Linked DNA regions of Arabidopsis thaliana. Changing the gene in region 2 together with the main gene of any one other region gives a genetic interaction. Each region holds a gene or a part of one and is shown on either strand. Other genes may lie near its edges.

Region 1 (6,321 bases), 2.0 Mb from region 2:
CCATCCATCTTCTCCATTTTCCTCCATTTCTGGGTTTCTTCTCATCTTCCAAGGATTAGGAAATTAGTTTGTTTTTTTTCATCTGCTCAAGTGATGACGACGAGTTTGGATCGGTGGGAGAAAGATCCTTTCTTTCCCGCTGCTGAAGAAGTTCAGGAATCTGCCGACAGGTTTGCGTTTTTCGGATCCTCATCTCCCAATTTTCGTTTTGAATCTGTGATACCATAAACTCTCATTGTTGGTGATGCAATGTCGACGATTCGATTCGTGTTGCTTCGGATTTGGGATTACGATTTCTGATTAATCAAATCAAGTCTTAGATCTGAAATCTCACAATGTGTGTTGTTATCTTCGATTCATGTGTAGGATGGAGTCAGCGTACAGGACATGGCTCAATGGGAAACGAGACTCTTCAAAAGTATGGGACTCTGAGCAGCTTCATAGAGATCTTCACGCAGCTCTTGGAACCACCAAATGGCAGGTTTCTTTCTTTCCTCAGAACTCAGATTCTTAATCTGTAATGTTGATTTATGAAACCTGTAATATTTTTGGTGTAGTTAGATGAATTCCAAAAAGCTGTCAAATCTAGCTATGACAATCGTTTGAGTGATGAAACTAGAGATAGGCATCGTGAGTTTACTTTCGTAATGGAAGCTCAAGTGTCGAAAATCGAGAAATCTCTCAAGGAAGCTGCGCAATCCGATGGGAAAGGAACACCGAGATGGGTTCGTTTGGATGAAGATGATCGTAATGAGCTTGCTCTCTTCTTGACTGGTCCATCTGAATCTGCTAAAGCAAATCCTAATGGACATAGAAGGACTGCAAGTGCTGCTGAATTCAGTGCTTGGAACATTGCGGTTTCTGATGATGGTTTAGTGAAGAAATCTTGTGATGAGCCAGTGGTTCGACCTCCGAGGAAAGTACCTAGCTTCTCTGGATTCTTGAATTATATGGATCCTGTGTCCAAGCATTGCAATAGAAAGTGGAAGGGTTTAGATCGTCAAGGAGACTCTGATGCTGCTTTATTACCTATCCAAGCTAACCAAGTAAGTTTGATCGATCGATCTCCAACCGCAAGATTTTTGCCTCCTGCTTTGAAAATCTTTGCTAAGAAATGCTTTTTATTTTTTTGTTTCTCAGCAAGATATGAATGGATGTTCAGAGAGGGGCAAGAGTTGTATGGAGTGTGAGGAGGACTGTTATGAAAAGCAGCTTCATGGTTGGTATGGAGCTCTACAGAGGCAACTCCAACGGTCTCAGTATCGAATGCGATATAGTAAATCGGTTCACGCTGCAATTTGGATTATTCTTTTAGTTTTTCTTATTGGTAAGATTTACTGAACTCTGAATCATTTATGTTTAGAACGCAAAGCTTACTGCATCACTTTTGAGTTTTGAGATAAATTGTTTTTTTTTCTGATTGCAGTGGTAGTTGCAGTGCATTCAATGTAGAAGAGAGGTTTGGAATAGCAAGGTTCGAGTTCATTCATCTTCTGTGTAACAGCGAAAGAGACGAATTTGGCAATCCACATTTTTACTGTACAGTAAATTCCAACTGTTTTTGGTTGTTTGTAATATAGAAATGCATTTTTTTGGTTCGATTATTTGAAACGGGTTTCATTGAGCAATCATTGTTTTCTTAGGCACCAATCCTATTAACCATTGTAGAATTATTTGGGACTAAACCCAAGATTGAAGTGGAACCTTCTAAAAATGACAATTCAGAATACAGAAATGCATTTCGTATTGGATTATTTGAAGTAACCGTTTCATTGAGAAATAAGAAAAGGTGTCAGAATTCTTTTACAATCAATCCGAGCAGAGTATTGAAGCACACGACTGCTTAAGTGGAGTTTTTGGACATGTTAGCCACCACCTCCTCCCGTTTATCGGCAGTCTCTAACTCGATGCCTTGAAATGTAAGTCTAGATGAACGATAGTGACTCCCAAACGCAGTCCCGAAACCCCACCCGAGGCCCAAACCCACCCCGCAACCGCCACCTTTGTCAAATACCAGACGCATAAGTTACGTAATTAGAATTTAGGAAAAACCTGCTCGGTGTGTATCTATGCGAGTGTGGGATATTTGAAGTAGAAGTTTGAAATGCTTACCAGCACCAACACCTAAGATGTTCATAGGCATTCCTGCATGAAAGCAACGGAAATCTCCAATTCAGTAGGTTTGCAAAATAGTATGAATCCATCAAAATGTAAGCGCAACTGATACTAGCTATGCGTTTAAGCAACCATTAGCTAGGAAAGAAGAAGCATTTGAGTAAAGATGATATGTAGGAGTTGATAATCTCTATAAGAGACATTAAGCAATATGATCACAAAACTAAACAAGCACAGCAGAGTGCATTGCACATCCCATAGCAACTAGCAAGAGAATTGTTCCAATAGAATTATCTTGTAATTCAGTCCAGATTTTGTTCAAGTAAAAGCAGAAAAAGAGAGAAGTTGAGAACGAACCTCCAAAACCCCATCCAACGCCAAATCCACAACCAACACCGAACCCTATGAATTCCAATAACTAAATTACGATTCCAATCAAAATTAAAAGGAGAAAACAATTGCGAATGGGGGCATTACCAAATCCAACACCGACTCCAGTGAAGTCAGAGAGCACCATAGTGATCTTCACAAGAAAAAAAAAGAAACCAATTTAGGAATCTATAAATTCAAATGAGCAGAAATTGCGAATCTGAATTACCCGATGATACCTTGTTTGTTGTTGGTAATCGGTGAATCTGGTAGATTGCTCTCTCTACCTCCCCCACTTAAAATCGCAAGCCCTGAAAGCAAGAGAAGAAAGGTGAAGACGATTTGTTTTAGAGACGTACCAAATTAATCGAACCGGTTTAACTAATGAACCGGGATTATTTTCAAAATGATTTTATGTAAAAGAATTTGGTCAACAGTGAACCGGCCTAATTCTTTTTCTCAAGGTCAACAACAGTCAACAGTAAAATAAAACGATCTAGTGAGCAAATGGATCAATCCATATGCAAAAATGCTCATGTCCCATTGAAATCCAACTCACAAATAGGATTTGGATGGTTGAGACAGACAAACAGATAAGTACTTATGGCCATTTTTTGGAGTAAACTAATGAGCAACGGTTTGAAATAGACAGTAGGAGGAGAAATAACATTTACTAGTTTGTGCTACAAAAGAAACTACACTCACACTATGAATTTATTGATATACAATACAAGGAAGATCGTATTCATCAGTTCCAATTGGTATGGATGACCAAGTAATATTTCTTTATACTATATGCTATTAGGTGAAATAGATGGGAGCTTCTATCATAGTATATGAAACAATATTATAAACTAAAAATTGGACTGACCTTACTAAGACTACACATTCCTAACATTATGCGGCAAAAAGAACGAACTTCTCCTGCTGTCTATTTACAACTTCAACGAAACTTCCTACAAGAATTTTAGCTTCGACAATAGCAAAAGTAAAATAACCGGTCTAGGGTTTGTTTTTGAATGAGTTATACACATTGATCTCCTGCTTCTTCACATCAACCATTTTTATGGCCGTGCAATGTCCTAATTTTGGGGCCTTGAGATAAGTCTTCAACGTGGGAATCAAATCTGAGTTCTGAAGGTGGAATGAAGCAATCTATAGACAAGCCAGGGACATTGAACGAGATTTCATCGATGACCCATGCTTCTTGCATTGTGGTCTTAGTGTTATGTCCTGATGACATATCTCCAAACCTTAAAAGCGTAGCCACGGATCTACCAGAGTGAGCTATCATGATACCTTCGACAGGTTTGTAGTCTTCTAGGTATGAGTTGATGGTCGTCTCCCAGTAAACCGCTTCGCCTCCATTGTTTTGGATTCGGGTTAGCTGGGAGTCTTCTAAGTGAACAAGCAGACCGGTTTTTTGGCTGAAGTAACCGAACAACGTATGTCTTATGGTCTCTGATGCCCCTTCGCTTCTAGCTTTGAGTGTTGCCGGGTCTGCACATAGCTTGAGAATGAAACAGTCTTCTCCATCGATCTTTTTTTCTCCTATGCACCTTGCATTTGCAAACATATACGCTGTGGTCCTCGGGTCAAGTCCCTGAAAGTTGACAACAGTAACAATTCAGTTATGCAAGCAAAGAAAAGTGTATGAGAAGGCTTCCTTGGGACAAGAGGCCTAACCTGCAGAGCACGTCGTAATGGTCTAACCGGTCCTTTTGCAGCATGAGGTCCAAGCCATGGTGTGTGTCTCCACACAAGCTTCCCGTCACAACCTGCAAGAACCTTGCTCCCACCAAGAACAAGCTCCATGTACCACATATCAGGATTCATATGCCACAACACAAATCCTCCAGACTCAACAGCTTTTGACGAATTATTCTTGCTCTTTGAACCTTTTGAGCCTGTCTCAAACTCTGAAGCCATCGTCCTGATTCTTCCCATAACATATCCATTTTGCACAGAACTATGAAGCTTTTGACCTCCTGATGCAGCCGTATACTGCTGAAGTATGTACTGAGCAGAGGAAGTCTCCTGAAAATTCAAGTATTAGTAAGAGTCATTAGACTTTACCCTCAACACATTAAAGCAGAGATAAAACTTGATAAATCTCAATTAATTGCGCAGTCTTTCTCCGTAATTAGTAGGCAACTAAAAGAAGATTCAGCTAAATTCAAGCTAGATTATGGCACAGAAGAGCTTAATTCAACATGATTAACTCCAAATCCCCAACACTGTCCTAATTTTGAGGAGACAACAGTGAATTAAGAGCTCACCATAGGTGTATTCTTGATACTGAGGTGTGGAAGGAGATCCAGAGCGCTAACGTGCACAGGACCTAAAGGTGCGCCAAGAACACCGAGGAGAAGCCTCAGATCCGTTCGTTTGAAATCCGAAGAGGACGATACTGACGGCGGAGCCACCGGAAGCTGACATTTCATCCAATTGTACCAACGTCTCTCGAACCTAGAGTAATCACCACTGCTTCCGGAGTCTTCAGCGTCTGGATCAGGACCTTCTATAACCGGAGCAAGCATCTCAGACATGTGCCGGTCCGGTTGTGTGACGTAACGGCCTTTCCGGCGACGGATGATGATCGGAGAGACGCTTCTGACTGGACTCTTGGATCGTGGTCGCCGGGAATTAGACTTGGAGAACAAGCCGTGCTTCTTATCCATAGTCGGAAGAAGAAGAAGGAAGTGTTGTTAGTAGTGTGAGAGAGAAGACGCAGGTTTGGTGATTAGAGAAAAAAGAGAGAAATGTTTGCGTCGAAGGGAAGGTTGCAAAATATAAATGTCGAATTTAATTCGTTAATTCGCTTTTTTAACCATTTCTTTTGGAATTTAATTATTCTTTTCTTATTTTGGCTATTATTTAGGGTTATACACATTTTTTTTCTCGACATCGTTGAAATTATGAATCACTGCTTCTCGAATAAAAACTTTTAAAAGTCTCATTATTACAGGCAAATGGGATTCGGGATAAGATTTAATTATGAAAATTGGTATAAGAATTTTTTTGTTATTTTTTTCTATTGAAATGGTTTTACATTCCATTTATAAGACATAAAACATTCATATTTGTCTTCTTTCTCTCAAGTCTTTTTTTTGGGCTAACTCGTTCCACATTGGATAAGAAGAAAACTTGTTACAGTTTGTGACCACAACAACGAGTTAAAAGGAGTTGCTTAATATGTTTTGATTTTTTCATAAAAGTTGATAATATGTTAATCATTATATATATATATATATATAATACTTTATTTCAAAAGCAGCATAAATTAGTGAGCAATTAGCCTTAAGGAACACGAAAGGCATGCTCTTAGAGATGGAAATTAATTAAAGTCAAAACAAAGCAATTGAGTGTTATATTACTATTTTAACAAAAAAAAAAAGGTGTTATATTACTAAAAGCAATATACAATATAGACGAGTAGGGTGTGCATGAGCATGAGCATAAGTCACAAAAGGTCAACATAACACAAAATTATTAAAAATAGTCTTCCTTTTCTGGAGTTTTCAATTTGATTCATGGGACCAAATTAGAATGGATATATATTTATATGGTTGCTTCTTACTCATTTTCATCTTTAACCTCAAATAACCATTTTCCATGGTACTTCTAAACTCTCAAGTGCGCCTTTGTGTGTTCAAACAGAAAAATAATTATGGACGACAAAAGAAAAAAAAATAACTTTTCTTATGTTTTTTTTTTTTTTTTTGTCGTCCATATTTAGTTCATATAATTGTTTTCTTAGTTTTGTTTTACCAGTCTAAAATACCTTATATCTAGTTTTAAATACCTTATATATAAGTGTTTGACAAAAAGTAAACA
Region 2 (8,620 bases):
TGGTTATATCAAAGTAGTGATAAGTGCAATTTCTTTGGAAAAGTTGTGATCGATACTAAAATAATATTTCAAGGAACACCAAAAAGTCCGACAAGTCACCAAGCTACGCATTTGCGCAGATTACTCTACGGAGGCGCGTGGGAAGAAAGAAGAGCTCTCGAGCGCGTGAAATATAGATCTCGTGATGTTTAAAGATGTAGAAACAAACTCAACAAGTTATTCGATTGGAGTTTGACTTTGGCTCTAAAAGAGATCTGTATGACTCTTTGTCCGTAAGTGAGTCCCACCACCACACAAGCTTAATCAGTTTGCTTACTATTTTAGATTTTGTACAAATCTCTTCTACTTTTGTGGTCCTCTCCACTCCTGCTCTGCCACGTGCTTCACTCTGATACAAATTTATTGTATTTTAAAGTACAAAATGTTTTGTTACTTGTCTTATTTTTTTGGTTGCCTTGGCTCATAACAAGTAAAATTTAAACCATTAGGAATTTTTTTTCTCTCATGAATACGTTTGGAATTGTGGTAAAAGAACTGCAATGCCTGGTTCAAGGCCAATTTGGAAGATCATGTTGAATACCATGTCAGTAATGGAAAGACCACGCTAGGACCATCTGCGATAAGGGAAGTACCATGGTACAAATGATTTATTGGTATGTAACCACTTCATTCAGAATTATATAAATTTAATTTGGGTGATGTAATTATTTCATAAGACATTATATGTACTAACCATATTTTATGAAGTTATTCAATGGAATTTGTATAATGGTTTCAGAGTGGACATTGGACAATAAGCAAACCTTTGCACCATAATATTGTATGAGTTTAATCTCTAAAAATTTGGTTTCCTAAGTAGTGGTTGATTTACGACAGTTATAGACCGATAATACTAGGGGTTGATACCTTGCTCGCAATGTTCAATAGAGGCACTTTTTGTTTTCATATGTAAACAATTGTGTTTTCTGTTAATTATTTGGATAGGTAAAACAACATTTGCTTGTAATCGATAAAAGTGAAGTTTGGTTGAAGTAAGAAATTATATTTTAAGATGAGTAAATTTTTATGGAAAGGGTGGTAGTAAAGGCTAATCAATTTTGGCTTCATCTTTTAACAAATGTACAAAGGTAAAATTGATAATGCTCGAAGGAGAAATTTTTAGGTTTTATATGTAAAAATTTGTGCTTACTGTTACTTGCGGAGATAACAAACATTTCATAGTAACCGATAAAAAAATTTGGCTGTTGTAAATCATGTAGCAAATACATCAAGAAAAGCTAGTAAAGGTTAATCAATTTTGGCAAAATATATCAATAAATCACAAAGGTGAAATTAATAATGATAGGTAATTATTAGGGAGTTCATGAATTATAAAGATACCCGAAGGTGGAAGGCACCATTAGTAAATCCAACGCAAATTAAGTGGACAAACAATACGACTAAGAAACAAAATATTTTCACTTAATTACCGTACTATTAATCTGATCAAATCATGCTTTAGTACTGATTAGAGCCTATATCATAATTATGTTTATAACAGCCTTTACAAACAAAATTCAAAAACGGTGGCCAAGATTGTGACAGTCCTAAACTTTTGCAAATCTTTTTGGTTAATTAACCACCGAAAATACACAAAACAATCGATATTCAATGTACTAATTAATTAGCAAACAATGATACACTTGTCCAGTAAAGTGTATTTTAATGTAACTTTTCACAGAGTATTTCGTGTGTATAGATGTAAGTTCTAACTAAGGTTTCTTTTATATAAATCGTCTGTCTAGGAAGGCTTAAACGTCACTCTTCTCCTTACAACGTGGATTCCAACATCGATACATTTGTTTTCATCCAAGAAAAAATTGCGAATAACACAAACAAAAACAAACTGAATAAACTAATCGGTCGATAATCGAGCAACTAAATACTCCCAAATTAAAAACTGACAATGGACTATTATAAAAAATTAAACAAGGTCTGAGAATGTGAAACGATTCGAGAGCCACGTGAGATGAATATCGCATTGAATCAAGAAACTAATAAAAGTGTACAGATATTAAATATGAACATAAATTTAAGGGTGCATGCCCTTCGCTGGGACTCGTGCACTCACAAATTTCGACATGCCATTTGTTTGTAATTATGGTTTATCGCAAAAGACGTGAGGATAAGACAACATCTACTATTTAAAATTACATATAACAAATGTAAAATAACAAAAACCTTAAAATTCAATTTTAATGCATAATAATCCCAAACAAATAAGATCAACTTATCAAAACATAACTTTTTAAAATAGAAAAGCCTTTTTACCAAGATTAATTATCCAAATTGCAAACAGTTTATATTTTCTTTTGTCATCTAGTGAATTGTGGATTTTTTTCAAGAATTAAAAAAAAACACATTTTTCTTGAAAAAATATAAAGGAAGAACTTTTGTTTCTTGAGGTTGACACGAAAGAGGTGATGGTACTCGTGATAACTATTTGTGGATATCGAGCCGTGAAAAGTGAAAACCACAGTAACTTTTCACTTCCATCTCAAGAGTATTTGCTCCGTTGTAGTTTGAGAAACGAATAATAAGGTAATTACGATTACGAATCATAGAATGTGGCATCTATATGCAGAGAAAATAAGAAAAAGAAGAGACAGATTAGATAGTTGTTATTATTCATTGATCACACGATTCCCTTCTTTTATTTCGAACATTTATATCATTTTGATAGTACGAAAAACAGTCGTATATCACATCAACTTGAAATAAAGATAGGAATGATTAGAATGATGAGAAAAAGCTGTAATCCTAACTTTGATCACTAATTAAACACTAAAAGAAAGTGTTAATTGTTGACTTAAACAGAGTAGAAGTGAGTGGTGTTGTCGCTTTCCAAATATAATCCGTAATTACTGAGACAAATAGAACCCAAATTTGAATAATTTATTACTAATGTCGCTCATTGTCATAATGTAATAAATAGACAAATAAAATAAGATTTTTTTCTTTTTCTTTATCTTACTGCTTTAAAATAAAGCTCGAGTGATTTTGTTTCTGAAAATAAGAAAGTGAGGGGAGATAGTGGAAAGAAGAAAACAGAGAAGAGACACGTGAATACAGGGACAGAAGCTTTGAGAGATAGTAGTATGTGTCTATGTGACATAAGGATCCAAACAGGCCAGACACTCATCATCTCTGTCAACTTGCCAAGTAACACAAAAATAGTACCCACACACAAAACACTCTCTACGCGCTCTTCAAATTTAGAGATCACAACAAAATTGTTTTCAATAGTGAAATGGAATGTTTTGACCAATAACTCTTTTATTTCGTAAACACTTTTGACTAATGGTAGAATTGTTTCTCAGATTTTTTTCTGCAAAATTATAAGAGATACTGTTTGTCAATTGTCACTAATAAGGTGGTATAATTGAACAAAACCCATTTTCCGCAAAATTGTGTTACTGACTGATATATCAAAGCCTATAAAATCTATATGGAAAACTAAATTGGAATAAAATCATGAAGCATATGAGAAAGCAGAGAGAAGGAAGAGGCATAAATTGGGATTGTGAATTATTCGGCTCTATATAGTAGGAAACCTCCAAAAAAGAAAAGAATATTACATATGAAACCATATGTGAGATCTAAGAGCCTAGCAAGAGTTTGTTTTCTCTCACTATTCATATGTACACAAACCAACTTCTTCTTCTTCCTACGTTAGAAACCAACAACGTACCTGTTTTTTTTTTTCTTGTTGTTTCAAGGAGGCTTTGGAACTCGTTTGAAAAAAAAAAAAAACTCCCTAGGACAACGTGTGAATAATATCTCCATTTTTTTTTTTTTTGAGTATTTTCCATTGATTGTGTTTGTGTATCCTGCAAATGAAAGAACAATGCTCTCTCTCTCAATATATATACAGTTGCAACAAAACTTCTGAGACAGAAGATTTATGAGTTTTGAAAGTGTTACCCTAAAACGAGAGACTAATTCCAAGGTTGTGACAAAGAGACCCTTGAAGTTGATGCTTCTACTCCTCTTCTGTGTTTAATCGCAGAGTTTAAGATCTCGTATTGTTCATTCACCGACTTGTACAAAGCTTGGCTGTATGCTTCTTTCGCCTGCCATACCACAAGAATGTATTTATATGCATGATGAATTACTCGATCTTGAAACTAAAGTCATTGGTGTGCTGAGTGTTACAGACAGACCTCATTAGGGCTCTCGCAGTCTGCTGTGACGTCTGAGAAGTTGATTTCAGGAGCAATTGATAGTCCAGTACCGTGAAACCCAACTAATCTTTTCTCTCCGATTTCTTTCTCAACCTGGCAGATGCACAATGAAGTGATGATGAGAGGAAAGTCAACCAGAGTTAGCCCAAAACGGAGAAGAGAGACAGAGAGAAGAAAACAATCAATACCTGGGGTGGAGGGGGCATGATGTCATAGCAAAGCAAAGACATTGGATATATATGTCCAGGAGCGCCAGAATGTTCAACCAGTCTTCTCATGTTGTCTACCGAAGAAGCATCAAAGGGTGCCTGAACATTACTAGATTAGTACTTGCATATCTACCAGACTCAGATAAGATCTCTGTATTCCATCAAATAACTTACAGGAAACCATTCCCCAGTAGAAGGATTCGGGCGGTCCCTTCCACCGCTTGGTGCAATCCATATAAGTTGACCGCCAGACCTACAGGGTTCATCAACATTAGCAGACTAAACATCAATGTTTTCCTTTAATGTCTGTTCCTATGAGATCAAATAAGAACACTCGCTATTTAGTTCCATTAACCTTAGCATTGTAGCCATCTCCTTTAAGCTTCGTGTGTTTGCTTTTCTTTTCATGTCAACAAGCTCAGGATCATCATTCATGTGCTTTTTCGAGTAAACACATATGAGGTTCCTGAAAGCAGTAGAAATCCCGGAAGTCATACAAGGTTGCTAAGATTACACTTCAGCCCATCAGGTAGCATACCATTGCAAATGAAAGCTCGTGATACCTTCCCATACTGAACGGCTTACAAAGAGGATCAGTGATGACTCGATCACCAGCCACACATTTCTGCAACCAAAGAAACAAATAAGAACAGAGACAATAGCGTATAATAGCTCAGAACAAGGCTCGAAGGCTCACAATGTTCTCTCCTATGAAAGGAGATTGTGCTTCAAGCAATAGAGAAATGACAGCCGGATCAGCTTCACTTTGATGGTTTGATATCAACACGATATTGTGTCCCTGTAATTAAACAGTTGAGTATTAAAGTCCTGAATGGAAAGAACTTTAACTGTTGATGAAAGCAAACAGCATTAACTAGAGCACAAGAAAGAGGGAAGATGACCTGTCGAATCTTGTCTTCCAGCTCAGAGAATATAGAAGCATTTCCAACGTACGAATTTCTGCATAACATATTCAAGGGTTGTTAGTAGATGAACACTTGATGGCAAGAAGAAAACTAGAAGATCCAATGATACTAACCAAACGATATTGCTTTCTAATTACATTCAGTTATGAATAAAATCTGATAACTAAGAGTGCATATTCCAGCTTACTTGAAATCAATAAGAGGACGGATGTATGTATGGACAAACATGTAGTAGTCAAATGGTTCTCTGACTGCTTTATGATATGGATTAAAAGTATAAGGATCCTGAAATATTCACAGCGCAAGGAAGCTCAAGTAAAAGAATTTTTAGATGACATCTCCTAGTAGAAAAATCATTCCAAGAGATTGACAGAAGAAGTACCTCCACACCAAGAAGCATGCGATCAAAAGCAACAGACATGTTTGATACAACAGTTTCATCTGCCCTGGAAGCTCCACTACTTAAAACCTAAAAACCATCAGTAAGACAACAATGCAAAAGTTCAGTGGACTGATGTTCTTTAATCTAATTAATTCCAAAGCATAGCACTAATCGTACAAACTAGTGAGTGATAAAAGGATTCATTTACTGCATTTTTGTAGTTCCAATACAATTCTTCCATTCCTGCTGCAACATTTGCTGGCAACCTTCCAGCTTCAGCTTCCTTCTTGATACCAGATAAAAGATCTGACGATGGAAATGAAGATAAACACAATGTTAATACAAGCATTGTTACACATCCATCCAGAAACTCCTACTTGCACTTTTTGAAAAAGGAAATTATCTGATTGCATCCTTATGAACTGATCTTCTTAAAGAAAGCGAAAGCATATCAAGAGCAACACAACCTAAGAATTCCAAAGACGTTCTTATCCATTTAACAAGAATGGAGCAAGATCAGAAGCAAAAGGCAAGAAGTCAATTCAATGAACCTTATCCAGTCAAACAAGAAACAAACTCGAATATCGATTATGAACACAAAGGAATCGAACAATCTCCACAACTCTAAATTCCATTTCCGAATTGCTACCACAAGTCAATTCAAATTCCTCAGGAAAGAAGACGAAGAAGAGTAACTAACCTTGTTCACTTCGCGCATCCAAGAAAGTACGGGAATGACTAAGCTCACTCGGCGTCTCACCGGCGGCTTCATTGAAAGCAATGCTCGCCGCGACGGACGATTCTTTATCCTGAACAAGCTCAGACATGGCTCTCACACTAACGCCGCCGCGAGAACGAAGAGGCGGCAGAAACAGCTTCTTCGCGGTTAATCTGAAAGATACTAATCCACGAAGAGTCGACGAAGCGAGTGGATAAACCGGAACCCTAGCGGAGGAGGTTACGGTTGCAGCAGCAACGGCAACGGTTGCGGCGGAGGAGGAAAACGTGAGAGTCATTAAAGCGTGTTTGGTGATTGGACGAAGCAGAGCGTGTGGAGTGTTTATGTGTGTGTGACGGAGATCTCTTCCTTCCTTTTTATTTATCCCATGAGTCCCTCTTTTTCACGTTTTTATTTTTTATTTTTCACCAAATTAAATACTCTTTTTTTTAATAATTTAATTTAATTTCCCCTTAGTAATCTTATTTCATTGAAGAACTCATAATTATAATGATACTATGTAGTATTAATTTTAAATTTAATAAAATTAAAGAAGACTCAAGACCAAATTATAACCTCACATCTTTATTTTATTTTTTGTTAGTTGCGTCCGTACATTGTATTTGCCTTTGTGTTTGTTTGAAGAAGTAGTCATGCTTATGTGTACACATAATGAATTATCTAAATATAAATCATGTGACGTCGACAACGAAAAATCACGTAACGATTCTTAAATTATAGATTGTGGAAATAGTCGATAAATTAAAAAGTTTATGTATCTTTTTTCCCTTGGTTGCGTCAGTATTTAAATTTGTTGGAATTTAAAGAAGTCATATTTGTTCTCGTGCACGTAATGATATTTTAAAATCGTGTACAACAGTTATAAATTTTAAGATAGTTGACAAAATTTAAAAGTTAAACTGTAAAATTAGATTTACAGTTTGTCACTTCATATTCACTCGTGATATTTCACACACTGACTAGATAAGCTTCAATTATGATATCAGATTCTCTCCTTTTTTCTCATTTAAAGAGTATCGTGAGTTTGTTTGTGACATAAACGGCACAAAACTCAATTCCACCAACTTGAGGATTGGGTTTTATGACAAGTGTCAGAGTCTGAGTGGTTTATATATAGGCCGAGAGAACCGAATCGAATCAAAGGGTCCCATTAGGCCATTACTGCAGGAGACTCTGTTATTGAGTGAGAGAGACACTAATAAAAGTTTGATACTTCGACAACAACAAAAATATCTCAAACTAGAGTTTTGATTCCAAGTGACACCTAAAAACTCCAGTACATTAAAGCATGAAAGCAACTTGTAGACAGGAGAGTGAAACCTCTATCCGAGGAAGTTGATGATCACCAAATGGAGGACTAAGTTGCAGAGAACAAAATCAGCAAAAGCTCTCTCAGGTGCTAAATCCTGCAGTTTTCAAAATGATATTTCGGTTATTATACAATAGTACATTGCAGGAATCTAATGAAACTATTGGGGTGTATATAAACCCCAACTCCCAAGGGAAAATGAGATCAATGACAAGTTTCTCAGAAAATTGATTCCCATGTTCAGATTTCAGAAGTTCTTTTTTATCATCTATATGTCCAGAGCCTAGTATATTTCTTCGATGGAATCAATGTACTAACCAAGTGATTGGTCACGAGAATCTCTAACCCTCCCACATCCCCAACCTAAACCCTAAGAAATTCTAAAATGCCTAAACAGTTTCTGCCTACTTCCCTTTCAAACTCTTATCTCATACAGCTGAAAACTGACTTCAAACATAGCCACATTCCCATAAAAATCCTCCTAGTTTAGTTTTAATAGTCTTCCTCTTGCACTACACTAACAGGAACACCTTAAAAATTAGAATTGCAGTGTCACTACAGCTTAGATGCAAAAAGAGGAGGGATGAAAAACTGCCATTGTTATAACAAAAACAGCGGTATGATTACTGAAGAGAAGTAAACTTGTCATCTAATGTTTTCGGAAACATCATAGCATTACCTTGAATTCCTTGTTTTCTTTGTTCACTTGAATCCGGAGGCAAACTATAAACACAAAATAGAGAAGACTGTTAGTTTTAAACATACATTCTCAAGGTATAAGCATGTCTGTAATAAAATCCAGATAAACTTACCAGCAAGAACTGCTGTCCCG

What was found.
Region 1: changes in ATS1 (region 2) and AT1G27695 impair growth when combined (synthetic growth defect), as found in Arabidopsis thaliana (one study listed by BioGRID).

Annotation. Positions count from the first base shown.
Region 1 is NC_003070.9:9,635,525-9,641,845, reverse strand, and holds AT1G27695 (glycine-rich protein), read right to left. Parts: upstream 2,823-6,321; 5' UTR 2,724-2,822; intron 2,700-2,723; exon of another isoform or gene 2,639-2,699; 5' UTR 2,633-2,638; coding exon 2,593-2,632; intron 2,518-2,592; coding exon 2,473-2,517; intron 2,146-2,472; coding exon 2,113-2,145; intron 2,002-2,112; coding exon 1,844-2,001; 3' UTR 1,642-1,843; downstream 1-1,641. Other genes in the region: AT1G27700 (Syntaxin/t-SNARE family protein), read left to right, coding at 94-170, 367-481, 558-1,046, 1,141-1,327, 1,427-1,452; AT1G27690 (lipase, putative (DUF620)), read right to left, coding at 3,539-4,087, 4,171-4,521, 4,764-5,165.
Region 2 is NC_003070.9:11,598,246-11,606,865, forward strand, and holds ATS1 (phospholipid/glycerol acyltransferase family protein), read right to left. Parts: upstream 6,930-8,620; 5' UTR 6,757-6,929; coding exon 6,441-6,756; intron 6,047-6,440; coding exon 5,949-6,046; intron 5,828-5,948; coding exon 5,741-5,827; intron 5,644-5,740; coding exon 5,546-5,643; intron 5,393-5,545; coding exon 5,335-5,392; intron 5,232-5,334; coding exon 5,130-5,231; intron 5,058-5,129; coding exon 4,996-5,057; intron 4,899-4,995; coding exon 4,788-4,898; intron 4,686-4,787; coding exon 4,607-4,685; intron 4,532-4,606; coding exon 4,412-4,531; intron 4,317-4,411; coding exon 4,203-4,316; intron 4,113-4,202; coding exon 3,978-4,112; 3' UTR 3,426-3,977; downstream 1-3,425. Other genes in the region: ATDAD1 (Defender against death (DAD family) protein), read right to left, coding at 7,802-7,885, 8,468-8,511, 8,601-8,620. UniProt on the Arabidopsis thaliana protein: Esterifies acyl-group from acyl-ACP to the sn-1 position of glycerol-3-phosphate. The enzyme from chilling-resistant plants discriminates against non-fluid palmitic acid and selects oleic acid whereas the enzyme from sensitive plants accepts both fatty acids.